Linked DNA regions of Coturnix japonica. The protein of the gene in region 1 interacts with the protein of each later gene in a pairwise test. Links are inferred from orthologs where the notes say so. Each region holds a gene or a part of one and is shown on either strand. Other genes may lie near its edges. The genes, in order: PSMC6, SDCBP, C23H1orf216, CRK and PSMD9.

The links.
Region 2: the proteins of PSMC6 (region 1) and SDCBP interact in binary tests that used the Homo sapiens proteins (3 or more experiments, as listed by UniProt). The two-hybrid records come from large-scale screens. The link is inferred for Coturnix japonica from reciprocal best matches to the Homo sapiens genes PSMC6 and SDCBP.
Region 3: the proteins of PSMC6 (region 1) and C23H1orf216 interact in binary tests that used the Homo sapiens proteins (3 or more experiments, as listed by UniProt). The two-hybrid records come from large-scale screens. The link is inferred for Coturnix japonica from reciprocal best matches to the Homo sapiens genes PSMC6 and C1orf216.
Region 4: the proteins of PSMC6 (region 1) and CRK interact in binary tests that used the Homo sapiens proteins (3 or more experiments, as listed by UniProt). The two-hybrid records come from large-scale screens. The link is inferred for Coturnix japonica from reciprocal best matches to the Homo sapiens genes PSMC6 and CRK.
Region 5: the proteins of PSMC6 (region 1) and PSMD9 interact in binary tests that used the Homo sapiens proteins (3 or more experiments, as listed by UniProt). The two-hybrid records come from large-scale screens. The link is inferred for Coturnix japonica from reciprocal best matches to the Homo sapiens genes PSMC6 and PSMD9.

What each region holds. Positions count from the first base shown.
Region 1 is NC_029520.1:52,821,492-52,827,775, reverse strand, and holds the start of PSMC6 (26S proteasome regulatory subunit 10B), read right to left. Parts: upstream 3,806-6,284; 5' UTR 3,683-3,805; coding exon 3,556-3,682; intron 3,033-3,555; coding exon 2,953-3,032; intron 2,587-2,952; coding exon 2,547-2,586; intron 2,361-2,546; coding exon 2,308-2,360; intron 1-2,307. Other genes in the region: ERO1A (ERO1-like protein alpha), read left to right, coding at 3,999-4,106. UniProt on the Homo sapiens protein: Component of the 26S proteasome, a multiprotein complex involved in the ATP-dependent degradation of ubiquitinated proteins.
Region 2 is NC_029517.1:101,328,079-101,333,628, reverse strand, and holds part of SDCBP (syntenin-1), read right to left. Parts: intron 2,959-5,550; 5' UTR 2,944-2,958; coding exon 2,893-2,943; intron 1,698-2,892; coding exon 1,609-1,697; intron 1-1,608. UniProt on the Homo sapiens protein: Multifunctional adapter protein involved in diverse array of functions including trafficking of transmembrane proteins, neuro and immunomodulation, exosome biogenesis, and tumorigenesis.
Region 3 is NC_029538.1:3,766,859-3,773,143, forward strand, and holds C23H1orf216 (UPF0500 protein C1orf216 homolog), read left to right. Parts: upstream 1-2,634; 5' UTR 2,635-2,802; intron 2,803-3,504; 5' UTR 3,505-3,518; coding exon 3,519-4,235; 3' UTR 4,236-4,935; downstream 4,936-6,285.
Region 4 is NC_029534.1:3,972,487-3,978,604, reverse strand, and holds the start of CRK (adapter molecule crk), read right to left. Parts: upstream 4,031-6,118; 5' UTR 3,902-4,030; coding exon 3,658-3,901; intron 1-3,657. UniProt on the Homo sapiens protein: Involved in cell branching and adhesion mediated by BCAR1-CRK-RAPGEF1 signaling and activation of RAP1.
Region 5 is NC_029530.1:4,890,748-4,896,890, reverse strand, and holds PSMD9 (26S proteasome non-ATPase regulatory subunit 9), read right to left. Parts: upstream 3,971-6,143; 5' UTR 3,969-3,970; coding exon 3,816-3,968; intron 3,742-3,815; coding exon 3,639-3,741; intron 3,345-3,638; coding exon 3,157-3,344; intron 2,599-3,156; coding exon 2,497-2,598; intron 2,349-2,496; coding exon 2,260-2,348; intron 1,932-2,259; coding exon 1,904-1,931; coding exon of another isoform or gene 1,845-1,903; 3' UTR 1,254-1,844; downstream 1-1,253. Other genes in the region: HPD (4-hydroxyphenylpyruvate dioxygenase), read left to right, coding at 4,229-4,231, 4,335-4,361, 4,836-4,898, 5,179-5,283, 5,376-5,418, 5,484-5,566, 5,707-5,796, 5,885-5,988 and 1 more. UniProt on the Homo sapiens protein: Acts as a chaperone during the assembly of the 26S proteasome, specifically of the base subcomplex of the PA700/19S regulatory complex (RC).

The DNA.
Region 1 (6,284 bases):
CAGCCCTGTCCCAGCACTCTGTAGTATCCCCTGCTAATTTCTGCTGGGATTAAAACCACTCACGTGCATTTCTCACCCTGTTTCTGGGCAATCTCATCCAGGACAGCAGTCTCATTCCCCCCCTTGAAGGGGATCACCTTGTTGCTGTTTTCATCCCTTTGTTTTTAAAGAGGTGCTCAATCTACGTTTGAGGAATATAAAACCTATTCACTCTGAGCTTTACCAACAGGTCACCTGAACAATGGGGATTTCTACAGCCGTTTACAAGCTTCCCAGCTCCCTTGCAGGGAGATTTAGGTCTCATGCCCACATGGGCTACCCTGGTAGCTTTAGGATCAAGCTGTCACTCCTCCCTGAGTGGAGTCACTGATAAGACCTCTCTTCAGCTGCCTAACCATAAGAAATAAGTAGGAGCTTGAAATCATATCAGATTCCACACTGCCCAATAGATTTAAGTTATTCTGCAGGGAGAAGAGAAAAAGAAACCACTTGACCTTGAATCCCCTCTAAAGCACACTTCAGATAGGGAAGTAATACTGTTTTCATTTACACCCTATGGCTCTCCTTCCTCAGCAGCACAGCCCAGCCATGAGGGCCTGGATCAAAAGCTATTCCTTAAAGCTCCCTGAAAGTTTTCAAAATGCCAAAACATCAAGGCACCTCTCACAGTCTTTTTTGGTCTCTCCTACCAAATCAAAGATCTTTTAAGATCAAAGAGTGCTTTTTGCACAAGAATAAACTGCTAAGTACGCACTGCAAGGTCAGACTCATCCAGCTACAGCCTAATCCTGAGCATGTCTCTCTGCTGCAACAAAGGACCTCCAGACTAAGACATCAAACCCACCTCGTGTCTCAGTGGAATTAAGGAGACTTGTCTCAGAAGAATATTTAGTTCATTCCAACAATAGGCTGCCCAGTCTGTCACTTCTTGGTCACCTCAACTCCTCCTACAGTCCATTACATATGAATCATCTAAACGGTTGGTTCAGTCATACATTCAGCTTCTATGATGAGGCTTCAGTTCATGAGAAGAAACAAAACATTTTTCTGAGACATAAGTATCCTTAATTCAGAGAGAATCCGAGCACTGTGAGACCTCTGCAAACATTTTCTTTCAGCAGAACGATCTGCAGGATCAGTTTTCCTTCCAAAAGGTTACTTCCATTATAGAAGGGAATGTGCTACAACCATGAGGTGTTAAAGCACAGCTGCAGTTCCTTCTCCCTACAGCACACAAAACAGTTCAAGATGAACAGAGAGGTCACAGCTACTAAGAAGTACTTGCATTTATTTAATGCATTAAAACAACTATGTAAAATCTGCTGCCTCCTCAGGATTGGTGATCCTCCCTCACTGTCATAATTCTATCCAGAGGATACCTTACAGTCTCATATTTTTCATACATGTGCTTCTTTGTTCCTATGCGTGAAACTCAGGGATGAGCCAAACAAAATGGGACTGAAGATTCACTCTCACTCCCCAGAATGACTCTGTGTTGACAAATAGTTTCTCTGAGTTCTGTGGTTCCTCAGTAATATGAGGCTTCATAAACAACTCATGATCTGTAGTGTCTAATTACTGTAAATGAGTGGCATTCATTGTTCAATTCACCAACCAGCAGCTCTGCAACACATCACTTACACTTTTGTACCCTTCTGTACAAAACCAGATAGTAAAAAGCACCTCTAAGCCGGTTCTGGCTGTATCAGAGGATGGGTTGTTTTGTAAGTAAGGTTCCACATTACTATGGCAGCTTTTATGGTGTACTTATGAAGTGCTGTTGTCCTGCAAACTAGAAGCACCAAGATGCTTTAAATTATTAAAGGCAAAGCTTTCAAAGTGTTCACTGGGTGCTGCCTACTGTAATTACTTATTGAAATGGAGCACAAAAAGTATTAGAAAAAGATATAAGTACATAGTTACAGAGCACTAGATCTAAAGCTCAGCAGAGGACCATTACTGTCATACGCTGTGTTTGCAGCATGGAAAGGCAGATTCTTCACAGCTTGAAGGTATGATCATTTCTTTTCAGAGTTTAAGATCCAGCAGAAATACTGAGCTTCAAATAAGTGAAAGGGATAAATACATGCAAAGCTCCAGGAGCACTTAGAATTACTTTATCTTTACTAAGAAGATATGTTATTGCCAGACAGAAAGGCAGAGAGCAAGCAAACACCTGTATAAAACAGGCACATACAGCTTAAAGAAGAAAATGCTTTATGCTGTTCAGAACTCAGCCTATGAAAAGCCATGTTAATAATCAAGACCAAAGCAACCTCCTTCTGAATAGTCATATAAATCAGGTACCTGACGGCGACAGCCAACCACGTATCTTGGTCCATTCGTAGCCTTCACGATGACTAAAGAAAAAACATCACAGAAAACAATAAGTTAATTTGATTCACAGCCCCAAATCACACCTCTGGACTATCCAGGATATCTTGTTTTCCTGCCAATACTCAGCTCGTTGAAGCTCTGATTCTTTTAGATGAACTTCAACTGCAAAAGCTTATTTACAGAACCTCAGAGCAGGTCGGTGTACTTACATTTCTCTTCTGTGAGCTGTTTAAGCACCTCACCAACGATCTGCAAAGGAACAAACACAGTATCAGCCTACAGATTAACTAACCCTTGCCAAAGGTCATTTAAAGCAAGCTTTAAGTATGCTCTAAAGATGGCTTTGAAATTCATTCTCCTGCTTTAAGTTTCACTTAGATCTTTAAGTTCTTTTAACAATTTCTATTAGCCAGGACAACCAAAGAAAACCTGATGTGCATGGTATGACAGCTCCTGGTGGTAAGGTCCTCCCCCTCCTGTTTGCTGCACTATTCCCTCTTACTTTTGCTTTGTAATCAAATGAACTAAACAACTGCTGGGCAAGTTGCTCCAGCTACTTCCAGGCAAGCTCAGCAGCCACAGCCATAAGCTGTTATGACTTTGCCTCTTACATACCTGCCCAACGCTCTGCAAGGCCTTGAGATCATTTTCTGACTTCTCATATTGCTTGGTGAGCTCCTTCAGCTGCTCCCTTACTGGACAAAGAAAGAGAAACACAGGTTTTGGTAACTTCCAGACACGCAGGAAAGCAGCAGGTGGAAGCCGTGCACACCTGCCAAGTCACCTTCCTGCTCAGCAACTACAGGATCTCAGAGTGAGTTTGTGACCAGAGCCACAGAAGGAGGGTTGAAAGGAACCTTAACTATCCCCCAGCTGGAGGGCAGGGACAGCTCCCCCAGCTCAGGCTGCCCAGGGCCCCATCATGAGCCGCGGGCAGCTCCAGTGCTGTGTCACCCACAGCCCCGCAGTGCTGTGAGCACACAACCCCTTCTCTCTCTCTCTCTCTCTCTCTCTCTCTCCCTCGCCCATTCCCGTCCTCCCGTTCCCATCTCTCTGCCCTCATTCCCAGCCCCTCCCTCCCCCCTCACTGCGGCCGCTGCCTGCCGTGCCGGGCCGGGCCCATGACGAAGCGCTGGACGCGGCCCGACGCGGCGGCCCCACGGCTCGGCTCGGAGCCGTCAGACACCGCACGGCGTGTGTGCCGGGGCCGCCACTCACGCTCCTTGAGGCGCCCGTCGATCTCCTTGTGCTCCAGCAGCTTCTTGCGGTAATCCTGCAGCGCCTTGTCTCTCGGGTCCGCCATGATGAGCAGCCGCCGCTCATAGGGAATGCCGGGAAGGGCCATGGCCGCCTGGGGCCGCCCCGCGCCGCCGCCACGACCGCCCCTCCGGCACCAGCGGCGAGAGACAGCGCCCCCTGGAGGCACGGAGGGGCAGCGCAAGGCAGCGGGGCGGCTCTGTGAGGGGAGGGTCGCTCCGAAAGTAACGCCTCCTGTTTTCCACGGTTATGGCGGTGCGGGCAGCGCTGAGCGCCGTCACACCGACACCCGCAGCTGAGGGCGGCCCCATGCCGGGCTGCGGGCACTGCCGGCCGCACCCCCGGGCCGGAACGGGGCGGAGCGGAGCGGGGCGGCGCGGATCATTCCGGCGGCGGCGGCTGCGATGGCGGCGGGCGGAGCGATGCTGCGGGCGTTGGGATTCGCCGCCCTGCTGCTGCCTGCACTGCACCGCGGGGAGCAGGGATCGGCCGAGAGACGGTGCTTCTGCAAGGTGGGATGCGGGGCGTGGGGGGACAGACCCCGTTGTGTGGGGCAGCCCCCGTTGTGTGGGCAGCACTCGTTTATGTGGGGCACCAGTCGTTGTGTGGGCAGCACTCGTTGTGTGGGGCAGCCCCAGCCGGGTTTCCCTTCCAGCGGTCGCAGTGTTCCGTGCCGGGCCGTGCGTTGCCGCTCGCTTCACTTCGCACTGCCGGACACATCGCTCCGTGGTCACTCTCCTTCCAGGAAGCGGCTGCGTTACACTCAGTGCTGGAACGTGAATCACAAGTCGGGAGTGGGGAAAGAAAACGCGCAGCCGAGCGCTTGGCTGTGCCTTTACCTTGTGGGCGGCTCGCGATGGAAGCGGCAGCTAAAAGCCGTGCTGATAGGGGCTGATACGGGCTGATAGGGGCTGCCCGGTGCGCTGGGCAATGCTTTATCGCTGTGCATTCCCTGCTGAGGTTTTGCCTCGTCAGGCTGAGTCAGGAGCGCTGTGATACGAGCAGCCCTCGCTGCTCAAAGCGCTGCTGTTGTGGGTCACCAACCAGCAGCCCAGGCTGCCCAGAGCCACATCCAGCCTGGCCTTGAATGCCTGCAGGGATGGGGCATCCACAGCCTCCTTGGGCAACCTGTTCCAGTGCGTCACCACCCTCTGCATGAAGCTGGAGCTGCTGATTGTCTTCTAGGAGCTGCTTGGAGGTGATACAAACCCACTGTAGTATTCCTGTGCTCTGTTCTAGCTGTAGGTGGGAGGTGCAGAAAGGAGTCTGCCCTCTTTCCTGCCTAGCTGTGCAATAAGTGGTGGTGTATGGGTCAGGAGAAAAGAAAGCCCTAAATCCACTGCCCAGGAGCACTGTGTGATGCTGAGTGAACTGGGAAGACATGAAGCTCACTGGTGCAGCCTGGGATGGAGACAAAGGAGAATGAAGCAAAGGCCAAACCTAAGGATGATGCCGAGTCCACGCATGGTGATGCTCCAACCCATGGTACGCACCCATGGAGGATGCATCAGTGCTGTGGCATTGCATAGAGCCAGCACAGCAGCTCCCTGGCTGCTTGCTCAGCAGCTGGAGCCATTGGGGTGTGCGTCTGTCCCGGCGGCTCCGTTGCATCTCTCTGTGCTGTGCAGGCCCTGCCCTGCCTGTCCCATGCCATGTTGGGCTCCCGCACCCCGCCTGGGTGGAGCAGAACCCATCGCTGCTGCTGAGCTCAGTGATTCAGGTGCCAGGAAGCACATGGCACACGTGTGGGACCTGCTGATGTTGTGCTTCATCTGAAAGAACCACTTGAATTCTTGCAGGCTGAAGACACGGTGTTTTGGGAGGAAGGAAGGGGTGTGAAGGCATCACCCCCTCAGGAAGGTGCTTATAGTGCTTCACCCTGAGCTCTTTACAGGGTGACATTGTGCTGGCTTGGTTCTGGCTTCGTTTGGTTGCTCAACCTTGGAAGTTCAGGCCTGGTACAAAAGTTACACAGAATCACAGAATGGGTTGGGTTGGAAGGGACCTTCAAGGCCATTCAACCCTACCCCTGCCTTGGGCTGGGTGCCCCCAGGGCCCATCCAGGCCTAGGGACCTCCAGCCATGGGGCAGCACAGCTCCGAGCAGTGCCAGCTGAAGGTTCTACAGGTGTTTTGGAGGCCATTTCTAGAGCAACTGAGGCATGGCCCAGCCTTGCTCAGGGGCTGCCAGGCTTCCAGGAAACGCAGACTAATGAATGCTTTGGGGTTTGCTATTTTCATCGATGAGCCTTCGTTAATTTTGCAACAGCTTCACGTTGGGTAACTGGACTGGCAGATCGGTGCTGTTTGTTTTGTTAGATGGAGCTGGGTTAGGCCAGTGGAAATGTTCATTGCTGTGCTGCTCATCTGAGTTTTCACGACTTTGCAAAACGTGTGGCAGTGCAGAGTGGTGAGGGGCTGGGCCAAGGTGTGAGTGCAAGAAACAGGAGCAGCCTCCAAGTCATGGTGACATAGCACTGATGATGTGTTGGGGTGGCAAAGGGCGCTGCAGCTCACTGCATTTCCCTTCACACCCACGTAAATCAGCGTGGCTCAGTCTAAAGTATCAGTGTCTTCAATGAAAGGCTTTGCTTCCTCAGCCCTGTGTCCCACCCTGGGCTTGAACATAGGTTCCTTCTGCCCAAGGGGAACCCACACGTTCCTTTAAGGCGCCGTGTGTCCAACCCAGGC
Region 2 (5,550 bases), on another chromosome or scaffold:
AGAGTTCTCTCATAGTTCCACTGGATGTCTTTTTATAGTCATGCTGCTCACACCAACAGAGAAAGAAACCATGGCCCTTGATATGAAGAAAAATAATTATTTCAAAATTGGTTTAGCGATACCAATCAGTAAAGCCTTTAATGACTGTTCCTTCTGTGGCTGCCTTCTGCTTGCATTTCAAGCCCTTAGGAATGAAAGCTGTAAGTGATTTTGGCAACACCTTATTTTTCTCTTTTGTTCTTCATCAAAAGATAACACTGCAGAATGCACCTTGTTGGCTGTATTACATTCCAATTCAAAATAGGAGAGAGCACTCCAAACAACACAAAACACCCAGCATCTCTCAATAACTATAACCTACAATCTCCTGCCTCCAACAGGACTGAGGGAGTCCCTGTGGGTTTGGCACGTCCTAGAAATTGTCAATACGTCCCAACAAAATGGTGATCTAATAATTTCCCTGCAGGGATGGTTGTCTACGTCCCAAGGCATAGGTAAACCAGGTTGCCCAAGGAGGCTGTGGATGCCCCATCCCAGGAGACATTCAAGGCCAGGCTGGATGTGGCTCTGGGCAGCCTGGTCTGGTGGTTGGCGACCCTGCACATAGCAGGGGGATTGAAATTGGATGATCACTGATATCCTTTTCAACCCAGACCGTTCTATGTTTCTATGATTTCTCAGCCATACACAACATCCAAAGAATGTGCAGACAAGCTGATGTCAAAATACATCATTTGATAAGCAATATGAAAGGCACAGAAGTTGCAGTGGAATACAAACGCCAAGCATCAGAAAGGATGCTACTAAAAAGGGATTAATAATGCAAATTTCCATCTGATCTGATGATGCCAGCTCAGGTAAGATCTTCAGTTCCTTCTGGTCCAATTCACCTTCCCGGATCTAAGGTGGGTCTCTGATGAGCTAAATAAATTCCAGCCTTAAAATTGCTTAGATCACACCAGCTCCAAGTGTGAAACTGGAGACAAAGGTGCACCCACCAAGCCTTAGTACCTGCTCTATCAGCATTCTTGACTGCTCTTCCAGCACTGTAGCTGGTCATGCTAGTTACAGATTTTCAGGCATATCTGTGCATCTTTGTGGGTGCACATCAGCATGGGGATAAAAAGGTGAAATGAGACTGACATCTTCAGGCCCATTGTGTTTTCCAACATATGTTTTTACCCCAAAAGCTGCAGAAAGCACAATATTGTTGAAGTTCCATGTTTCTGGGCACTTCTCTATTAACAGATTTGTGTCTGCTTGTTTCCAAGCAAGTTCATATGCTCCAGAGGAAAGATGCAGTGGAATAGGTTCCCCAGGGAGGTGGTTGAGTCACCATCCCTGGATGTGTTTAAGAGCCATTTGGATGCAGTGCTCAGAGATATGATTTAGCAGAGGGTTGTTAGGGTACTATGGTTAGGCTGAGGTTGGATTTGATGATCCTTGAGGTCTTTTCCAACCTGAATAATTCCATGATTCCATGATGCTCAGATTCATGCTGCAGTCTGAAGTTTACAAACATGTGACAAGTAAGTATATGCAAGTGGCTGAGGTGAAAATCAAGGAGAGATCAAAGGGTCCCAACAACATGAGCATACTATGCAGCACATGACCTTACCTCCATCATGAGGAACAGGACCAGAAGCTTCAGACAAGATTGCTGGATTAGCTGGGTTTGAAGAGAAGGCAGTCTGAGCCTAAAGGGATGGAAACTCACACATGTTACTATAGGTCTTTCTTGTATAAGAGATCTTTGTTACATAGCCAGTAGACCAAGTATTCTTCTTAATGTGCTAATTACCACTACTCTTCAAGCACTGAAGTCAATCATTTTCTTTGAAGTATTTAACACAATACGCGGCAGTGTTATCATACCGCTTCAACAAGAAGTCATACCTTCCTCAGAGACAGAGCTATGCTAATAACACAGGAAGGCTTCACCATCAGCATCAGTTCCAGTTTTGTCATTAAGCAAATAGAAGAGACTTTTAAAGTAAGCCAATTCCCTTTCTTCTCACGGTATCAGAGCTGCTTCTTTCTTAGCCTTTAGCATCCACAAACAGTTGAAAACATTACCTTACAGAGTCCTACTATTATGCAGGACAGAAACAGCCACCTTAACATTGCTACTGATGTTAAAAGTAAAAGGTGTGGTTAAGTTTCAGAACAGCGAAACACAGTGCCAAACAGGACGCATAAATCACCAAATTCAACACGCTGACCGAATTACTGAGTGTTTTTTAAGGAAATAATGCTTAAAAATAGAAGATTTCATAGTCCTGTTCTCTCCAGGAAGTTACGTTTAAGAAGTTTCAGAGCAAAAGTGACTCATTATTTAGTCTCCAACTCAAACTCTGTACAGTAAGAACAGGGTTTTGTTTTGTTTTTTACAATTCCCTCCCCCGCCACACACTCCAGTTTTCCTTTTAATCATACTGAATTGCTGAGGACACAGTGCATCCTTCAGTACTAGCAGAGAAATACCCTATTTCCATTACCACATTGGTTGCAAAAGTTAAACAGTGAAGAGTTTTTAGTTATAGTGTTTAAACACTGGCAGCTGGTCATTAAAAGGCTGAGGGAGCATATAATATAATCAGCTGCAGGCAGGGTTGGGTTTTGTTTTTAAATCAAAGTTTACTGTCACCTGACTGTATCTTCACCTCAGGATAATGCAGGGCACATGGAGCTGAACAAAGAAATCCCAACACTGCCTACAGTTCCAAAGGTCCTTCCCCACACAGAGAAATGCAGGTGAGACTGACGCACTTTACCTTTTCCTTTTCAGAGACTGTAAAATACATAATATAGTAGCAGTTCTCCCCTCCCCGTCTTAAACAGAAACAGGATCATTACTGTTACCAAAACCAACTTTATGAAAGCCTGCCATACCTGAATAACTTTGTCCACCTTCAGATCTTCTAGGGAAGGATAGAGAGACATGTTGATGCAGCCTCACTGGGTTGGAAAAAGAAAAAGGAAGGGTTAGCCATCCAGTACTTGCCTAGCATTACAGCTTAAAACAGAAACGAAAGAGAAAGCAGACAAAGCACTAAATAAGCAAGTCGCGACCTGTAAACTTTAGCACTACAGATACAAAGCACTGAAGACAAATTTCATTAAGACTAACAGTTTCATCTGTTATCACTATTAGCCTATGTATAATAGGCTTTGCTTACTCGGTGCTGTTAAATGTTGCAGCCATGAGAAAGCCTGCACAGAGAACAGCTTCACAGGAAGTATTGCAACAATGATGAGGATTAAGATGGAAACCTAATTATATTCCATCTCCCAAGTAGGACAGTAATTCACATGCAACTGAGGAAAACAGTCCAGAAGTTTTCACACTATCTAAAGGCTTTTATCATTTCTAACACTCCTATCAAGAAGTCACTCACAGAATGACCCGGGTTGGAAGGGACCTCAAGGATCATGTAGTTCCAACCCCCCTGCCTGGCAGGGCCACCAAACATACACCTTTACTAGATCAGGTTGCCCAGGGTCCCGTCCAACCTGGTCTTGAACACCTCCAAGGACGGGGCATCCACAACCTCCCTGGGCAGCCTGTTCCAGGGCCTAACCACTCTCCTAGTGAAGAACTTCCCCCTAACATCCAACCTAAATCTTCCCTCTTTTAACTTAAAACCATTTCCCCTAGTCCTGCTATTGTCAGCCCTTTCAAAGAGTTTACTCCCCTCCTGGGTGTAAGTTCCCTTCAGGTATTGAAAGGCTGCAATGAGGTCAAGTCACTCGAGAGAACTGGCTTCCTGCGTCCATTTGTACCATATTAAAGAGAAGCAACAGACCACGAACCACCCAGACCTAGTCAGCAGTGGGTTTTGAAATCCACAGACTTCAGCCTGCCTCCCTCATGTGATGAGGAGAGAGCCCTGTGACAGCATAACAGGAAGCACTGAAATAAAAACACTTCGCGTGATCTTGGAAGGCACGTAGCCCTGTGTGATCTGAGCCACAGAGGCTTTAGAAAATTCCACTTTTGAGAAATCCTTTGCTCAGATTCTCACCGAGGTCAACAGAATGTTGCAGAAGAGTAGTTAAGGCAGTTCACCACAGGAAAGGATAGAAACAGAACGTAAGAACATGATAAAGCTTTGAAAATTAAAACGTGGCACAGAAAACATGAACGCAGTTAACAGAGGCACTATGAAATGCTTCTGGTTGGGAGATTAATTCTCCCATCCAAAGATAAGTTAGAGGTCCTGATTTGTGCAAGACTGAAAGAGACCACTACATAGAATTACCCAGGTTGGAAAAGACCTTGAAGATCATCAAATCCAACCGCAGCCTAACCAGTACCCGAACTCTAACAACCCTTCACTAAATCATATCCCTGAGCACCACATCCAAACAGCTCTTAAACACAACCAGGGATGGTGATTCAACCACCTCCCTGGGGAGCCTATTCCAGTACCTAACTACCCTTTCTGTAAAGAAGTTCTTCCTAATATCCAACCTAAACATAAATCCTTGAGCTGCTGCTTCTTTACACGCAGACGCTGGGTTGATTTAAACAAACTAAAGATGATTAATTGCTGCAGTAACATAATAGATGTCTCTTCACATAACATTAATGACATCAACTGCTTTTCTACTTGCTCAGCAGAGCGCCCAGCAGCTCCAGTATCATGTCACACTACAATTAACATTTCCAAAGGGAGCCCAAAGCGGGACAAAGATCTAAACTACCCCAACAGAAGTGGCCACGCGTTTAGCATTATTTGCAACTGATAGTTTTTGTCAGGTCATTGCAAACAAACGAAATAGAATTGAGACCCAGAAACATTAAAAATTAAACAGATGCATTTAACGACAGTGTAAAACTTCATTTTAATGCAGCATTGACCTGAATGCCATCAATGCAAATGCTTTTGCTCCATCAAAAAGAACAGCATATGCAAGCCAAAGCCTAGCACAACGCACGCTCAGGTAAGCAGTCCCCAGCCACCTCGTTCTGCTGCTAAAAGCATAGAATGGCTTAGACTGGAAGAGATATTAAAGATCATACAGTTCCATTCCCCTGCAGTGGGCAGGAGCAGACAAGGACATCCATCCCACCTGACCTTGAGTGCCTCCAGGGATGGGGAAATCACAGCTTCTTTGGGCAGCCGTACCTCACTGCCCTCAGAGAGACAAATTTCTTCCCTATCATCTAACTTAAATCTCCCCTTGTTTATTTTAGAGTTCTATCTGCAGTAAAGCTACACAGAGCATCGTATTCACAGCAGCACAGACTGCACTCAGAGCCCATTGTAGCATCTGATGGGTCTCTGGTTCTGGCCATCATTCCATATCATCCCACTTCCAGCTGGGCCATCTCCCTACAGTCCACTCTCACCCTGCATAGCGATCACCAGTAACACCCATCACAGGCTATCACCTCAAAATTGCTCCTCATACTTTCATATTGGCTCTCCAGGCACCAAAGAAACCCCTCCAGAAGCTGACCCTGCTACTTCACCACCACTCAAGGCCACCTCCCTTCCCAACTGGAAACTTGCAAACCCTCGGGTGTGTCACAGCTCCCAATGA
Region 3 (6,285 bases), on another chromosome or scaffold:
CATATTAGTGTCTCAACGAGAGGATATTGTTGGTTCCTGTAGGAGGATGATGGTAACTTCTGCACTTCCAGCCAGAAGATCCATTTTGCTGTGACCCAAAATGGGAACAGACCCACCAGCAGCTCTGGGTTCTGCATTGCGATACAGCCCTATAGGGGATGCTGGTGCAGTTCTGGTTTCCTTCTCACCATCAATATGGAAAAGGAGAGGGGGAGGAAGGGATGTGAACTGAGCGAACTGAGCACTTACAGGTGAAGGGAGAGCTGAGAGAAGCCCACAAAGTGCCGCCCAATTGGGGTTTGCTCAAAGCTCTCAGCCAGTTCATTTAGCAAAGCAGAAAGCTCTGCTGATGGGTGCAATCAAACCTTTAATTCCCACTAACACGACCTGGTGCAGCTTAGAATTGGTTACAGTTATTAATCAAAACAGGGCGGCCGGACCCAAAGCCTTTATTGGATGTTGTGACAAAGGGATAAATGGAAGCATTTCTGGAATGCATCAGATTGGTTTCCAAGAGCAAAAGTTCCAAATCTTGAAGTTTTTTGGGTTTTTTTTTGCATGATGAGACCCAAATGTGGAACCTTCCTATTTCGGGAAGCAGCCCAAGGGGGTCAGGAGGAACAGCTGGGAAAGTCCTGGGGGTGGATGGGGATCAAAGGGGGAAAGAAGGGCAGTGATTGTAAATGGGCACAGACCAACACAGAGCTGCTGGGCAGCCAGCATTGCCTTGGCATAGTCCATGCTGGAGGTGCAGAATGCATTAGTGAGATAACAGCTCCTGTGTTGGGGCTGCAGCCATCGCTGGGTGCTGCCCTTTGGGGACCACACTGTGCCTGCAGCACAGGGAGGTGACAGTGCAGCCCCGGAGCGGCAGTGAGCGCCCGTCCCTCCCACTTCCCTTCAATTTCCCAAACAATTTCCTCATCGGAGCTTTCTGTCTGGAACTTATTAGTGATTCACAGGCCCAGAGGAAATGGTGACTTTGGGGTCCTGCTCTGATGGGAAGGGCCCAAGTTCCCCTATTGTAGCCAAGAAACAGACAGAACAGCTTCAGAACCCCGCTCTGCTCTCCTGGCAGCATCCCCACAACCCAACCTGTGCATTATGAAAGCAGAGATGGAGGAGAGCACGGGGACCCCCCCCAACCCAGACCCCCGGTGCCATTGGGGCAGTGCAGGGTGGAGGTCAGAACTCTGTTTACTTTAATTTCTCGGAGAGCTTTGAGGGAGATTTCCCCCCTCTGTTATTAAACTCAGATGAGCCGCTGGGGAGGTTGGGTCGCATGTGGTTCAGGGCCCTTTTTTTTCCCTTCCTTCTGTACTTTATTTTGTTGTTGTTGCAACATTTGGCTTTTAACTCTTTCAGGACGGCTTCCCCAGGGCCATCTCCATCCACATGGGGGTCCCTGCAGTGGGTGGTGACCCCACAAGGGCCCTGGGTGTCCCCAGCCATACCCACCCCATCCCTATGGCACAGCATGTCCTCTCATGGCCGTGGCCACAGGAGATGGGAATTGATGGGACCCCAACCACATTTCATTGCCTCCTGGTGTTGCAGATTCCAGCCCACACCTCCCCCTGCTCGCAGCCTCCCCAATGCACCACTGCCTGCTGCTCTGCTGGCTCAGGAGCATGCAATGCACACATGGCCGTGCAATGCACAGACACACACACAGTGAGCATGCACTGCAGGTGGCAGCCTGGTCCTGCATGGGGCAAGTGCATGGAGCCAGGAGTTGGGTGAAATGTGATTTAGGGACTTTTGGAGCCACACTGTGCAATGAATGGCCTTCATCTCACCCAGGACATAACTCCGTCCCTTTGAATCCTGCTCTTGCTCTTTTAAAGTAGCTTTTAATTTCCTGAAGGGAGAGCTTTTAATTCATTTCTGGAGCATTGTAGGGGAAGAGGAGGGGAAAATGGCTCTGAAATCCACCACTAAGCTCCCCCAGCCCCGAGCCCTCCCTTCTCTCCTTCCCCCTCCAGCAGTGTCCCCACTCCCCATGTCCCTGTGCCCGGAGCTCCAGCTGACACCATGGCCATGGCATAGGGGTCCTATGGCACAGTGGGGTCCCACCACTGCCCCCCATCACTGCTCAGCATCACTCCCAGCAGTTTTGATGCCCAGGCCATGGGGTTGGCTGCAGCACAGTGAGGCTGTGCAGCCAGGCTGGACATCCAGGCAGAGGGGAGGGTTGGATGCTCACTGTTTCTTTCACCTCGTGCTGTGCAGGGAGGAACCCCAGGGCCCATCTCGGTCCTTATGGGGTTTCTTTGAGGCCAGAGCAGCGCTGATCTCTTGGCCTTCTAGGAGTCAGCAGATCAGATTTAACCCATAGCAGCGCTATTCCCCCATTCCCAGCCTTCTCAATACAGCGGCAGAACGTCTGCCCACAACACCCCAACCCCACAGAGCCTCATTATCCACAGACCGCCCGCGGGGCTCCATGTGACCCCCCCCCCCCCGTGCCCTCCCGTTTGATGCCGCAGACAGACGGCTCCCAGCGGGGGGGGACCGCGAGGGTCCCTTTGGGATCCCACGGACACCGCGACCCGCATCCCACGGGGGGCAGCACCCCACGACCCCAACCCCAACCACCCCAACATCCCCATCCCCTCCCCGGGTGATGCTGAGGCTGCCCGCCTCGCACCGCATCCCAGCCGGGTCCCTCCCTGCAGCCGCCGCCCTCCCTCTGCCCACGGCGGCGGGGACCGCAGCTTCGCTCGGAAGTGCGGCTCCGTGGCACCTCCCCGCGTGGAAACGCTTCCGCTCCCACCGGCGGCGGAGCTGCGAGCGGCCCCGGTGAGTGCGGGCGGCTTTGCGGGGCGGCTCCATCCTTTAGGGGGGGTCCTGAGGGTGGGATCAGCGCCGGTTCCCGCAGCCTCGATCCGTGCGAGCATCCCCATCCCTGCCCCGCACATCCCAACACGAGGCCTTCGGGAACGCCCGGCTGCGGGTCGGCCCCGCACTGCCCGTCCCCGTGCGGTGCGCGATGCGGGGCGGAGGGATGGGGGTCATCCCGCATCGCTACGGAGCTGTGGGGGCTCGGGGAGGTGCCGTGTAGGGCCGGGGGTTGGGCTCGGGGGTCTCCGTGGGCAGCTCCGGGTGTTCCTTGATTGCAGCGCTGCCCCATGGGACCCCCCGACCCACCGGGCTGATCCCTACGGGGCCGATCACGGGGATCCTTCACGTGGTTGTTGTGAGCGCTGGGAGCGCTCTCCGTGCTGATGCTCCGGAGATAAGCACGGTGTTCTCCCTTCCCTCTCTGTCCCATCCGCTCCTTTGGGCACCGCTTCGGGCACCAGCACACAGCAGGAAAGACCTGGGGCAAGGAGAGCCCTTCTGCCTCCATGTGCCGGGGCAAGTGATGGAGGAGGCTGACCCACATCCCCACCGCAGGGATACCCAAATCTCAGCACTACAAACTCCCTTATCCCTGCAAACCCGGGTCCCCCCTTTGATGCGGTGCCGCACTGTGGGCTCATCCCCACGTCTCCTTTGCAGGCAGCACCGCCGAGATGTTCGCCCTGTGCCCCCCCGACGCCCCATTCCCGGGGGTCCCCGCTTTGAGCTCAGCCTTTTCGGGGTCCTTACAACGCAGCCCCGACTCCAACTGCAACTTCGCAGGGGACGATGAGTGCGACAACAACCAGAACTGGAGCCGGGCTGACGGGGGGGGCAAAAACAACACTGCAAATCCCTCCGATAATCTGCTGCTGTTAGCACAGAGACAGATGGCTCCGGGCGGGATGGGGGACGTCGCTTCGAGCTCAGCGTGTGCCCCCCAGCAGGGCGAGCGCAGCCCCCCCGAGGGGGCGGAGGTCGGGGAGGGGGAGTTGGGTGGATCCCCGGCGGAGGATATCGGCTATGCCAGCAGCTCGCTCAGCATTGACAGCCCCGACAGCGCCTGCGGCAGCGCTTGGGATCCCCCCGGGGACCCCCCCGAGGTGTCCGAGCCCCCCCCGGAGCCCCTATTCCCGGCGCTGGCGGAGGCGGTGCAGCAGCTGCAGGAGAAGGAGCGCTTCAAGGAACGGGAGAAGGAGAAGCATCACGTTCAGCTGGTGATGTACCGCCGCCTGGCCCTGCTGCGCTGGATCCACGGCCTGCAGCAGAAGGTGCTGGAGCAGCAGGACCGACTGCAGGAGAGCTTCGATACCATCCTGGACAACCGCAAGGAGCTGATCCGCTGCATGCAGCACGGAGCGCCGTGCCCCGCTGCTGCCCCCAGCCCCTGAGCTGTGCGAGCATTCCACGCTCTGAATCCCGTTCTGCTTCCCCGCAGCTCTCCACCCAAATCAGGGCTGAGTGCTGGCTCTGATGGTGATGTTGGTGCACGGGGTTTGTGTCAGCCCCATGCTGGGCATTGTGGTGCTCACCCTATAGAGCCCATCCCATTAACCACAGAGCTTTAATGCCTTTCTCCTTTCACACCTGATGTGTGCACCCATTGCCCTGCAGTGCAATGTGCTGCTGTGCATTGGGGCACGGTGCCCTGGGTTGTCCCCAGGACTGACCACAGCCCATCAGACACAGCAGCAGAGAGGAGCTGCATTCATGCATTAAGTGCACAGAGAGAGAATCACTCTGAAAAGTGACCTCAGAATGCTCAGAAATACTCATAAAGCATCACCAGGCCCCAAACCCTGCGCTCTTATTTCACAGTTCAGTGTTAGGGAAGAGCTGGTTTTGATTTATTGCTATTTTTTTATTGACCAGGTCATATAGATGCACATCTGCATGCTGGGGGAGCTGTGTTAGCACCATGCATGGCCGCAGAGCTGCTCGCCAAGCTGTGCTCATTGCATTCTATTGTTGTCTTAAAGCAAAGATGCTGTTTGGGTTTTCTTTCCTCATGCCTGTTTTAACCAGCGGGGGCTGCATGGGAAGTATGAAGGACGGCCCTTCTTACATAGAGATTAAAAAGGAGACGCTGTGTTTGTGTGCTGTGCTTTCTCCAGTGCTGCTGTGACCATTGAAGCTGCTGCTGTGATGGGCATTGGGCTGTGCCTTGTCCCTGTGGGAGGCTGAGCACCGCTGGGTTACCCCCTTATTCCCTCTGCTCTCCTGCACCCATCGTGGGCTGCAGCCCCCATTGCCCAGCTCCGTGCTGATGGGATGGAGATAGGAGCACCTGAGCGCTGACCCCGGGGTGACTGTGCCTCGGGCCTCACAGAGATCAAGCAGAGATGAGAAAAAGCCCTTTGAACCTTCCTTCACCCTTCTCCCCCTTCTTGCAGAGCTGTGGGAACTCGAGTAGAGCCCCTTCCAAAGCACTGGGAGCAGCAGAGAAGGGCACTGAGGGGTGGGTAGAAGCCCTTCCATCATCATCATCCCAGACATGGCAGAGCAGCAGCACAAGGAGCAGATGCAGCCCCTTGTTGTGCCCAGGGGTGCATTGATGTGGCTGCAGGGTGCAGCCCTGATGCTGCCAGATCCCCTTCCCCCACCCAGCGCCTCTGTTTGTCTTGGTCGGATGCTTGACACAAATCTTTACATCCAAGGTAAATATTGGGAAAATCCTGATTATTTGCTCAAGAAATGAAAGAATAACTGCTGGCGCGGATCAAAGCGGTGGATGCTCTGTGCTGCCATAGAGGCTTCTCCCAGCGCGGTGCCCCCGGCGCTGCTCTTGGAACCATCCCCATCCCGAGCTGCCCATCCCCAGCCCTGAGATCTGGAGAGGGAAAACAAAGGCATAGAAACCTGCTGGTGACAGTGGGGAGCCATGTCCCAGCTCTGCATCCCATGGGAACACAGCTCCGTGTGGGTCCAGTGGATCTCAGGGGTATCTCTGCATCCCCAGGGGTTCCCATCCCTCAGTATATCATGGGTTGCAGATGGATACAGGGGATCTCGGGGTCTTCCAGCACTGCAGCAAAGCAGATGGGGCCAACCCTGCCCTCCGTGCCCCTCTGCAGGGGTGCAGCCTGACAGGACGGGCTCCCATCTCGGCCCATATCTGATGGGGACGCAGCCTGAGCCGCCTTCTTTAATGATTCCCTTTGAAATGTTGTTGCTTCCGCACATCCCCCTTCAGGGTAGAATATTAAGCAAGAGCAACTCGGCTGGAAATTCAGATTGTTTTCGTGTCTGTTTTCATTTACATTTTAATGATAGAGAAATCTTATAAATCAGGCTATTTGCAGCACGGCTCCTTGAAAGAAAAGGGGGGAAAAGAAATCAACTGCACCAACCCAACCTCTCCCCATTGCAAAGTGTGCCTGGAAGTGGGGGTCACCAATGGCTTCTGCATGAAAGCACTTCTCCTGCTCCTCTTGCTCGCTT
Region 4 (6,118 bases), on another chromosome or scaffold:
CAAAATGCCACACGCGGTTCTGATTCTTTTGTTTTAAAAGCAGAGGGCAGCTACAGCCATTTGAGGTCTGGAAAGCAGGATCTTTGCAGCAAGAAATCCATAAGCTTCATTCAAACTGCTGAAGAACATAAAGGCAGCAACCTGGTCACGGCCTGGAAAACTTGAATGGGAAGATTCCTAAAAGCACCTTGACAGGAGTTGAAAGTCGCTATTAGGAAAAGGCAGGTTGGAAATACAACCACACCTTACCAAGCAGGTGGTAATCTCCTCATCAGTTTAAGTCTTTGGTGTATACTCTTGTTCAACTACAAAGTCAAAGAGCTGAGTGATGTCACTTAAACAGCAGGGAAATAATTCCACACATTAGAAGCTTCCAAGTCCTGCCATTCCCTGCTACAATGAAACCCATAGATTAACAGATTTCAGGCTTGGAAGAATTCTTCAGCTTCTTGTTTGAATTACAACACTTCTCATACCTGTAGGCCAGTGGAAAAAACTAAGGCAAGATCTACCATAAGGAAGTCAGAGCAAAAGAGCTGTGTTTGTTTTCTTTGTCTGGAGAAGCAGAGATGTTTTCCTTCACAACCCTGGAACAGTTTTCTTGAAGGCACAAGTTCCAGCAGCATATGGTCTGCATCTTCCGAGGGCTCTCAGGAAAAGCAGAATGTGTGCAAAGGTAAGACTGGCTTCTAAAGGAACTTTAGTCACTTCCTATTAAAGTTGGACAACTGAAGAAATCCTCTTCCCTCCTCCCCAGCTCTGGACAGCCAAAGGAAGGACAGCAGCTCAGCTCACACCTTTGCTGCAGGACTGTTCGGCTCTGTAAGACAGCCCCTTAGAATGAGAAAGGGAAAGAGATGTGTATCATCTTCCTACCTACTCCATCCGAGCTCTGTCTGTGCTAGGACTTAATGTGATTCCATCCACTTGGAAACAGATAGTGAAATCTCTGCTCTCAAAGGGGTGATGAAGGGGTTAAAATCCAAAGTAGCCCATAATTAAACTAAGCGTAAAATTTGGACCCTGACTGATCTCTATGACACACGGGCCTTCCTACGGAGGACTTTTACACTGGCTTGGCTTTGTGTCAGTGTGGAAAAGATCATTCACAGAGGTGTTAAATAAAACATCTAACATTCTTTTTGGGAGCGTGGGCAGGTGGCATAACCACAGAGCAGCTTTGCGCTTCATCAGACCCTCAAGGGTTTCACATTTCTCTCTTCACTCCCATCCCGTCCGTGCCACTAGGCAGTTTTCTCTTTATCCCTAAGCTTTGGTAAGCTTTCCTTTTTAGGGCATGGGAGACTTAACAGGAATATAGGTTTTCAATTTCATCTCTAGACACACCCCACAAACCCCTACCCCCATCTTCAAAAGCACATTTGGGGAAAGAAAGGCTGTTCTTGGTGTTCAGGGTGCTGAGACACGAGGCTCTCACTCTGAACACATCACAGCAACATATCACAGCCTTCCTCCTAGAGCAACTCTGCAACAGAGGCAAAACCTTCTGCCTGTTTCCCCCACCTTCATTCCGACACCTTCTTCTCCTTGTTCTTCAGTGCCTGTCTGCTCACTACTGAGACAAGCACTCAGGAATGCTCTATAAAAACATGAGTCCAGGAAGTGCAGCCTGAATCCTTCAGAAAATCACAATGGAGCGCAATAAGCACGTTCTTAAGACGCATAATACTTACTGAAAACATCACCTTCCACTCTGTCACACTTCTCTATGTCATAAAGAAAAACGTTAAGGCTTTCAGGCTTCTGGCCTGATGTCTTTAGATGTTTGAGTGTACACCAGACATCACGGCCCTATCCTTGTATGTCAAACTGCAAAGACGTGATGGGTTTAAAGTCAGGTTCCTACTGTCACCTGCACACAGCAGGGTACAAGCAGTCACAAATCACACATGCATTTCAATCACCTGAAGCCAATAAATCAACACAGGAACCTGACCGGGCATATTTAGGCTTTCCAGTGAGTTGTGTGCATCTGTCAAACAATCAATTGCAATAAAAATAAGTAGACCATATAGAAAACTGACATGGTAAAGTTGGTTTTTCCAAAATAGCTACTTGTGAACATTTACCTCATTTCACTGCACTACCTTCCCCATCCAAACCTGAAATCATCTTCAACCTTATAGCAATAATAGCACGTCCCTTCCTTTAAAGAACATTTCTCCCTGGAGGAAATTCTTAATTACAGGTTAAACGTAACTTACTACACACACACTTTCTTCCTTTGAGCGTGAAAAGCGCACAGCATCAGCATGACATTCATTTAAACCCACTTGAATTTCAGCACAAAAATACCTTTGGTGTGAAAGCAAAGCAGCACCTATTCCAATAACATCAAGGTGGGGAAAAAGTGGACTTCCAAAAAGTAATAAAGCTCAGGATGGACTCCACTACAAATCACCATAGAAGCTTATTCTGCTCTGTGTAACAACCACACGTTTCACACATCAACCTATGAAAATAAACCTTTGCCTTGATAAGACATGAAACGCTGAGGAACCGAATGTATCTTGTGGTAAACCACTTCACTACCCGCTTCGCTTCCAGTTCAATGCAGCCACCTTTATCTCCTGCATTGCAGAGCTTTGTGTGACTGAAGCACACCTTACAGCAGCGGCAGATTCCTGTGATGAACCCAATGACTTCAGGCTTTCCCCAGTTTGTCAATTCTAAACGTTACCCCAATCAGGAGAGATCACTGTAGAATGGTGCAAACCCACCCACCACCAACAGATTCCTTCTTTATCAACTACAGTCTGCACAGCCTTTCTGTCTCTGTAGCAACCTATGTCCTAACTTCACTCCTCGTCAGGTTCATTAGCTCTCCTATTACACAGCCTTATTATACAGCCTTCCAGACTTTGTAGTGGTTTCTCAGAGATGCCAGCAATTCGCCCACATCATTCTGTGAGCATTAACATCCAGACAGGAGCGGCTCCACCGCCAACATCAGCAATGCCCCCATCAGGGCTGCTGCTTAATTCAACCTTCTCATCACACATCGATAGATTATACATTGCTGAAGGCTCCAGGTCACTTGTGCGTTCAGAATCATTGCTTTCTGCAATGCAAAAGCAACACTTCAAGGGTTAACTTAAGTACATTATGTTTGTATTAGAGGTTGATGAGGAATAACATCAAATCTCCCTTTACAACACAAGGTGTGTGTAGGAGGGGGAACCCTGAATTCCGTATCTGATCTAAAGGAACAAACGCCTTTACACTGCTCCCACCCAGCTTTGATTCACGACTAAGTTTAGCCTCACAATCTGTCCTCTTAACTCTCAACTATTCCAACCCAATTCAACCTTTGAATTGACACTTCCAGGGATCCATCTCCACGCTGACACACCTCACCCACAAATTAAAACAAAACGAAAGAAGGCATAAAGCTGTAAAAGTGTGACGGCTCCGGGCTGCGCTCTGTCCCATCGTTTAGATGCGAGGCAGGTGCAGGGAAACGGCTGCAAGGCGAGATTGAATTAAGTCCTCTACAAAGAGCAACACGACTCCAACACAACACGACTCCACCACGACTCTCAGACCCGGCCGTGAGCAGAGCGGAGCTGCAGGGACCAGGCGCAGAGCGGGGCCCGCAGCGGCTGATGGGCACGGCCAGCCCTGGGGGTCACTCACCCGGGGTCCCGGGGCCCTCTCCGCCGGCCCTTCGTCCTCCCGCCGGCCCCAGGCTGTTGACGATGTAGTGCGACACGCGGGAGCTCTCAGACACCGACAGGACGAAGTCTCCGGGGATGGTGCCCGAGTCTCGCACCAGGAAGGTCCCGTGGCGCTGCCCCTGAAGCAACGACACCGCCTCGGCCCGGCTCAGCCGCCCCCAGTACCAGCTCCCCCGGTCCTCGGAGTCGAACTGCCCGGCCATGGGGGCCGTCCCGCCCGCAGGCCGCACTCGCTGCCCCCGCCCCGCGGGCCGCCGCCGCCCGCGGTGCCCAGCTCCGCGCCCAGCCCTACCGCACCAAAATGGCGGCCCCTACCCTGACCTCACCTACCGGAAGTGACCGCACGCGGGAGACGCGGGGGGATACGTGACGTCATCACAACGCGCGGCCTTGGGGACGGTTGGCGGCCTGTGGGGGCTGCGCATGCGCGTTGGGTGGAGCGCAGGGTCTGAGGGGAGCTGTGTGTGTGCTGCCTTGTAGGTGAGACCTGATTGTGAGTGCGGAGGGTCCGTCTGGGCACCCACAGGATCACAGAATGACCCGGGTTGGAAGGGACCTCAAGGATCATGTAGTTCCAACCCCCTGCCTGGCAGGGCCACCAAACATACACCTTTACTAGATCAGGTTGCCCATGGCCCCGTCCAACCTGGCCTTGAACACCTCCAAGGACGGGGCATCCACAACCTCCCTGGGCAGCCTGTTCCAGGGCCTCACCACTCTCCTAGTGAAGAACTTCCCCCTGACATCCAACCTAAATCTTCCCTCTTTTAACTTCAAACCATTTCCCCGTGTCCTGCTATTGTCAGCCCTTTCCAAGAGTTTACTCCCCTCCTGGTTATAGGTTCCCTTCAGGTATTGAAAGGCTGCAATGAGGTCACCCCGCAACCTTCTCTTCTCCAGGCTGAACAAACCCAACTCCCTCAGCCTGTCCTCAGAGGGGAGGTGCTCCAGCCCCTGATCATCTTCCTGTCCCTCCATTGAGGATTCAATTCATTGTCTTTTTTCCTTCAGAGAGAAGCTGCCACCTGCAGTTGGTGCTTTCACCTTCCCAGCCAGCTGCATTTTCCTGCCTCACAGCTGTTTGCATGGAAAACCACTGGAAAACCCTTCCCAGGGAGATGTTCTGTGTTAAGTAGAGCCCTGTGGAAAAACAAGCTGTTTCTGACCCTGAGAAGATCACTGACCGCAGGAGCCTGCAGATAAAGTTGCTTCACTTCCATTTCTGCTGCAGGGGAATGTGCATGTGGGTGTATGCACCATTAAGAATTATAAGGATGGAGAAATAGGTACCAAGTTTAGATTAGCTTCAAGTTCCAGAGTAACATCTTCAGAGTCTGGATAACTGCATAGACAATTCCATTCCAGCTCTGCTCAATTCTATAAGCTTTTTTTTTTCCCCCAAAGGAATGTGTATTTTCAACTGTGTGGCCTCCATGTGGCAGCACTTGCATAAACATGGAGCACAGCTGCCCTTAACTGTGCAAGTGCATGTGCTGGCTCACAGCACCTTTGCTTTCTTGTGAGGCATTGGGAAGCCCTGTGACTGTCTCATGGAGTGGCTTTGGTATTGTGTTTTGTATGAACCTTCACAGTATCCCAATGGAAAAATATTCTATCTTACAGGTGGGAGGCTGCAGTTATAAATATATAAGAAAACACCAGGTGTTTGACTTATCAGATGGTTTAACAAATGAGCATCCTTCCTTCGCTGATCCTGTTCTCTCTCCAGATGGACTGTAGGTAGGAGCCAGTCATGATCTATTTGGAACCTAGAATGCCAGTTTCCCTGGTGACGCATGGAGTTTGCAGGATGGCTGCAGAAATAGCACACTTCTGTGCTCGGGTTTTTCATAGATTTAAAAAGCTGGAGATTCTTGTTGAGAATTAAATCCCAGCAGCAGGAAAGTACAGCCACATTCAGGGTAGTGCTTCACAGTCTTCAAATAAACAAGCCAGAAGTCTCTTGCAATGATAAAAATAATCATTTTTAGACTCCTGCCAGGCCAAGAAAGAAAGAAGAGAAGCTGCCTTTTGACTGAGAGTTGTTGTTCTTTTTCTCCTTCCCTTTTGTAACCCATCTTCCCTTGTTTCCAGCTGAACATCAACAGGAGCTGGATGGTTTCAGCAGGTTTCTTTCACAACTGCTGGCAGTTGGGAATATTATTGCAAGAGTTCCCTCTGGTGGTCACTAATGGGGAAATGAATAATACTTCCTCTCTAAGAAGCTTTTTTTTTATGCTGGAAAGATTTATTGTTCAGTCACTCTATTATTTTTAACAGCCTTTCTTTAGTTCTCTAGATAATGACTGAGAACCTTCTCCAGATTCCTGTTTCATCATTAACACTCCACTCCTCACTAGTTTACTACCACTGATTCACCCTTTCAGCACAAAAGCTGCAATAAAGGTGGAGCTTTTCTG
Region 5 (6,143 bases), on another chromosome or scaffold:
GAAGCCGGATCCCATGGGCCCCGGAGCACCCTTACAGTCCCACCAACACTTTCCCTGAGCTCCAGCAGGCAGAGCTCTGCTGCCCAGCTCTGACGTTTCTGTTTGCATCCAACCGCTGTTCCCTGGGCAACGGCTTCAACGGCTGCTGCCAGCAACAGACCGGAAAGCACTACGAGAGAGGATCCCTCCTATGTCCCCTTCTTATCCCCACCAGCTGCACTATAGAAGCAGCACCAACCCTCTGTTCAAAGCACCCCATCAGGATGATGCCCACATGGGCTTGTGGCTCCAAGCGACCACCCTGAGCCATTGCTGCCTCCTAATCAGCTCCAGGCATTTCCAACTGCTGATTTCAGACGTGCTATTAAGCTCGAATAATAACAATTTCTAAACCTAATTTGTTTTTCCTTCCGCCCAGCACGAGCCCGCTGCCCTGCTGGGAGAGGAAAGCAGTTCTGCTATCAGCACAAACCATCTCAGCAACCTGAGGAGCTGCCACGCGCTCCTTCCAAACCACTGCATAGAGCAGGGAATTATGGCTTAAAGAGCAAAGATCTGACCTAGGGAAGTGGATTGGGAACGATGGGTGGTGAACAAGCAGGGCAGACCCAGAACACCATGTCTACTGAGTGCAAGATGGTGGGTTTTGCAACAGAACTGTGTTTTCACTTGCTGGAATTGATCCAGTCCTACCACCAACGGGAACAGTGCAACATGCAACAGAGCACACAGCCAGGACATGCACTTCTACAAAGCCCCACAGAGCTATGGATGTCACAGTGCAGACATCCCCCACAGTGACAGGGAAATGACAACCCCGAGATCAGGAGTTAATGCACTCCGTTGTGCTGGGATGACCCACTAACCTCACTGCACGAGCAATAGAGAAAGCCAGGACTTTGTAGGGCATTTCATCCCAGGAGGCACATACACAAAGGCTGGGAAGAACATCCCATGAGCTGTTCTTCTGGACCAGCACACAGACCCAGATCCACCTGCAGCTCAGGCAATACTGCACACATGGGGTAGGCAGACATACCCTGAGCACACATGGCCAAGGCCCAGCTCCAGCTGGTCTCACACTAGAGCTGCAGTACAACATTCATCCACATGCTTACAACTACAACCTGCTTTGCTTCACCAGACCAATTTCTGGCTGTGGAAGGTCAGGGAAGAATGATTTCATGTCTCTGCAGATCTACTTTTAACCTACCTGCAATTACAGCCCCCAAACAGCAACTTCCACAAGAAGGGAGAGAGACACCACTCAGCTTTATTCATCGGGATGAATACTTCAAAGTTCAACTGGAAACAACCTTACAAACAGGAACAATCCCCCCAATTAACAATTAACATAATAAAATAATTAGGTACTCCAAAATTGCTCTCTTATTTGGTGATTTCCAGCAGCTATGAACACATGAGAGTTAAAGTAACAGATCTGTGTGTTTCTTGAGTGTGTTCTACTAAGTTAAAGAAGGAAAAATTGTTCCAGGTCTTTGTATCCTGCTTTACAGGATGTTCAAATGAGGAATTTCAAGGAAAAAATGAAGGAATGCCACGTTGTCACCAAGTAAAAGCACTTTATGTTCTTCCCAATCTGTATCAAGTGAAATCCAAGTTACACTGCAGCCTTACTCCAAACTGACGCAAGGCACAAAGAGATGAGAAGCCACTTCCTGCAACTCTGTGAGTTGCTCCTCACAAACCAGCGCAATTCCAACTGCATTAAGGTCCTGCTCCATCAGAACCTCTTCAGACCCTGCAAGCTCAGCCACCCAGAGGTCACAGCCCCTGAAACACCCATTTCAGCAAAAACAAAGGTCACAGGGCAAGCTTTCAAATCAAATCAGAGTCCAGAAAGCAGGCACAAGCTTCATCTTTATTGTCTTCCCAGCAGTGGTCATCTTTGCAATGGAGTGATATTGCAGCTGAAAAAGAAGAGTGGGGAAGAAAACATTTAAATCTATGTTCCGAAAGAAGCTTAGATGATCCAACACAGCACAAATCAGATCAACCACAACCCTCCTCCATTGGTTTCCTCTACTATAGGAAGGAGCCACTGAGATCTTCAGCCCCATACCCATGACTGATACAACTCATCACCCCGTATAGTACCAAATTGACAACCCCAGCTCTCAGCTGGACTCTGCCTGTGAGACACATCAGAGCAGCACAGAGCGAAGCAGAGCTGGTTCCTCCTGCAGGAGACGTGCCCTGAGCTGATAAGAGCCCCCTCCACTCCGACTGGCAGCCTACCCCAGCAGGCCCTTCCCAGCCCAGCGCTTCGGAGTCAGCCCCAGGTGCACTTGCTTGCCATTGCGGATCACAGTCACACTCAGAGGTCTCTGGGAGAAGCAAAAAAAGAAGATGAGCTCTCTCATTTCCATTATGAAGAGCCCAATGGCTGTGGTAGCTTCTCTGGCCGTTCCACAGCAAATGCTGTAACTCATTGGGAGAGATAAGAGAACGCAGTTACAGCAGAACCAAACTTACCCCTTCACTATGCTGTACTACTGTGGCGATGTTCTGCAGGCTCTTGAAGTTGTTTGCATTGACAGAACCAAACTCCACAATCTCATCATCAACCTGCAGACCCTGGGCAGACAGAAAGAAGCTGAACGTCTGTGTTCTGTGATGACAGGTAACACTGCCTGCTCACAGGAGCTTTCATCCAGCCGCACAAGCTGTGCTAGGACACCACCCTTCTCACCATTCAGACAACTGAACATCATACCATGCCCTTAGAAACAAGGGCACACTCATTTTTCTGCTCTGTTTTATGAGAAAACAATGAGGCTGCAATGAACAGATAAGCCTTGTAAGAGCTGCGTGGTGCTACGATGCAGCAGACAACATGCAATTTCTGATCCCAACACAGGGACAAACCAGCTCACAGGGACAAACCAGTGACACGGCCACAAACGGGCAGCTCCCTCCATGGGAACATTCAAGAATAACTGCACTGGTTGAGAAGGTGAATGAATATTTGACAAACACAGAATGAAGAAAGTGTGAGTGGGATAATAACAATAATCAGTATCTCACAGCTTATACCTGCCTGTTAGCAGAGGAAAATAAGCAACACATCCCCTATTTCCCCTTCTTAAGCACAAAAGAAGCCATCCCCATCCACTGGCAGCCCCAGCAACGTACCGCGATGCTGGCGGGTGACTCTGGTGTCACCACGTTGACTTTGGCAAAGGCAGTTGGCAGATTTTGGCTCATGGCCTCAGCTCGCGCCTCCGCCTCATCCCTGGCGTGTTTCTCCTTCTCGCGGGCGTGCAGCTGGTGCAGAGCCTCCTCCACCTGCTTCATCAGCGCCTTGTGGTCGTTCTGCAGACCTGCGGGTGGCACCCAGCTCAGTAAGAAGCAGAATCACAGCATCGCTATGGCTTAAAGGCCCAACACAGCCCACAACCCACCCCACGTCCCTCAGTACATCCCACAGCTCCTGAACGCCCCCAAACCTCCCTGAGCAGCCGCCCCCTCTCGTCCTATCGCTGTTACCCGGAGCAGAGGCCGACCCCACCCTCCGCACCATCCCTTAGGGGCTGCAGGCAGCGCTAAGTCCATCCCGAGCCCCTTTTCTCATCCTGAGGAGTCCCCCACGCCGCTCCCGTCCCGTCCCCACTCACACGCGATGTTGTGCCGGGCTGTTCGCACTTGGTACAGGTCGATGTCGGCCCTGGGGAATCCCTCGCTGTCCACCAGCGGCCCGTCCATGCCCACGCCCTTTTGCTGAGGGGAGAAAGGCCGCGGTGAGACCCTCGGCAGCGCCCCGAGCCCCGAGCCCGGCCCCGAGCCCCGCTCACATCGTCCAGCAGCTGGTAACACGCCCGGATCTGCGCCTCCAGCTCGTCCTTGCGCCGCACCAGCTGCTGCACCTCGCTCAGAGTCATGGAGCCGCAACCACCGCGATCCGACATGGCGGCGGCAGGAAGAGACGCAGCGGGGGGAGAGAACATGGGGCGGGGACAGAGAGCAAAGGGGGCGGGGGCAGAACGGGGGGCGGGGATGGGGGGGGGGTGTCCATGTGGGGGGTGATGGAGGTGATTGAGGTGATGCCCCCATGGCCGGGCAGTGCCCCCGGGGCGGGCAGTGTGGGAGGAGGAGCCGCTGTGCTCTATATCAGCCCCGCTGTGCTCTATATCAGCCCCGCTGTGCTCTATATCAATCAGCCCCGCTCAGGGTCGCGTTCTGTGCTGCTGTCACTGCGGGTCACATCATGGTGAGCGGGCACAGGACGGAGCGTTTATGGGGGACACGCTTCCCCCGGCCCCGCTGAGCGCTCAGTGCCCGCTCACTCACCGCCTGTCCCGCTTCTCTTGCAGACGACGTACACGGACAAAGGGGAAAAGGTGAGTGGTTCCCTGCTGGGGGACACCCCGTCCTGTGCCCCATGGCTGCCCCATGGCTGCCCTGCAGTGCTCTCAGTGTGGCGGTGGAGCAGCGCTGGGTGCTTTGCTGCCGGGTGAATCGTTAACGCTGCGGGTTAGTGAGGACAGGCTGCAGGTTTGGGTTGCAGCTGCCATCTCCTCCTCTGTGACCCAAACCCTAAACCCCAAACCCCAAACCTCCTACTGCGTGTTTCTATAGGACCAGATGCCCCTGGGCTCACTTCCAGGCTGACAACTGGGTGTTTTGCAGCCACTTTGCTCCATGTGACCGGAGCCAACGCTGTGTGCAGAACAGCCTGCATGCAAAACACTCCAAAACATCATCATGGCGGGGGGCCATGGTGACATCCATGTCACTGGGTGCACCTGCAGGAATTGCATTGGGAAGAGTTCCATCTGGAGGGACTGTACAACTTCTTTTCCCTTTCCCTTTAGCACCAGCGAGGCCGCTTCATCCACTTCCACTCCATCACCTTCTGGGTGGGCAATGCCAAGCAGGTAGGGGGCCGCAGGGCTGGCGGCGGTGGCCATTGGCTGCCAGGGGATGGTGGGGCCATGTATGTGTGTGTGTGTGCTGACAGCAGCCCTGGCCAGGGGCCACGGCCTTGGGCCCTTGCGCAAGGTGGGGGGTGGATGCAGGGGGTGCACACAGGGCAAAAATGCAAAGGAAAAGCAAAAACGCGTCACCGCACACAGAACGGGCTGTACGGCTGTGCTGGGAGCACACAATGGCCCCGCACACACCGCACAGCCATGCACACACCGTGCTGTGCTGCAGGCTGCCTCCTACTACTGCAACAAGCTGGGCTTCGAGGAGCTGGCGTACCGCGGGCTGGAGACCGGCAGCAGGGAGGTGGTGTCACACGTCATCAAGCAGGACAAGGTGTGCAGTGTGTTGGGATGCACTGAGCAGAGCTGGTGGGATCCTCCCTCCCATCACTAACTCTTCCTTCCTCCCATCCTCTTCCACCCCAGATCATTTTCGTCCTCTCGTCGCCGCTCAATCCAGGCAATGAGGGTAGGTCTGGGGCTGGGGCTATGGGCGCTGTGCAGTGTCCCCATACTGACGTTGGCTGTCGGTAGAGATGGGTGAGCACATGGTGAAGCACGGGGATGGTGTGAAGGACGTGGCCTTCGAGGTGGAGGACTGTGACTTCATCGTGCAGGTAGGCAGCACACGTGAGGTGCAGCGGGTGCCCTGAAATGGTGAGTCTGGGGCTGCTGGGTGTCGTGGCCGCACGTCCCCATGTTGGCATGGGAAGGGCCCCGGGGGCACGTGGCAGGACGGGCACTGTGCTCTGCTCAGAAAGCCAAGGAACGTGGAGCTGTGGTGGTGAAGGAGCCCTGGGTGGAAGAGGACAAGTTTGGGAAGGTGAAATTCGCCGTCATCCAGACGGTGAGTGATGAGGGCGCTGAGCCCCCAAAATGCAGTGGGGTCTGTGCATTGCAGCAGTGGGCACAGAGCCGCTTCCTCCCCTCCGCAGTACGGTGACACAACACACACCTTGGTGGAGAAGCTCAACTACAAAGGGCTCTTCCTGCCTGGGTACCACGCACCCCTCTTCAAGGACCCGCTGCTGCCCAGGCTGTGAGTAGCACAGGGTCCCAACATGGGGATGGATCCCACCCCCCGGCTGCCATCAGGTCTGAGTGCTGCCCCGTGTCCCTGCAGGCCGAGCGGCAAGCTGAGCTTCGTGGACCACGTGGTGGGGAACCAGCCCGACCTGCAGATGGTGCCGGTGG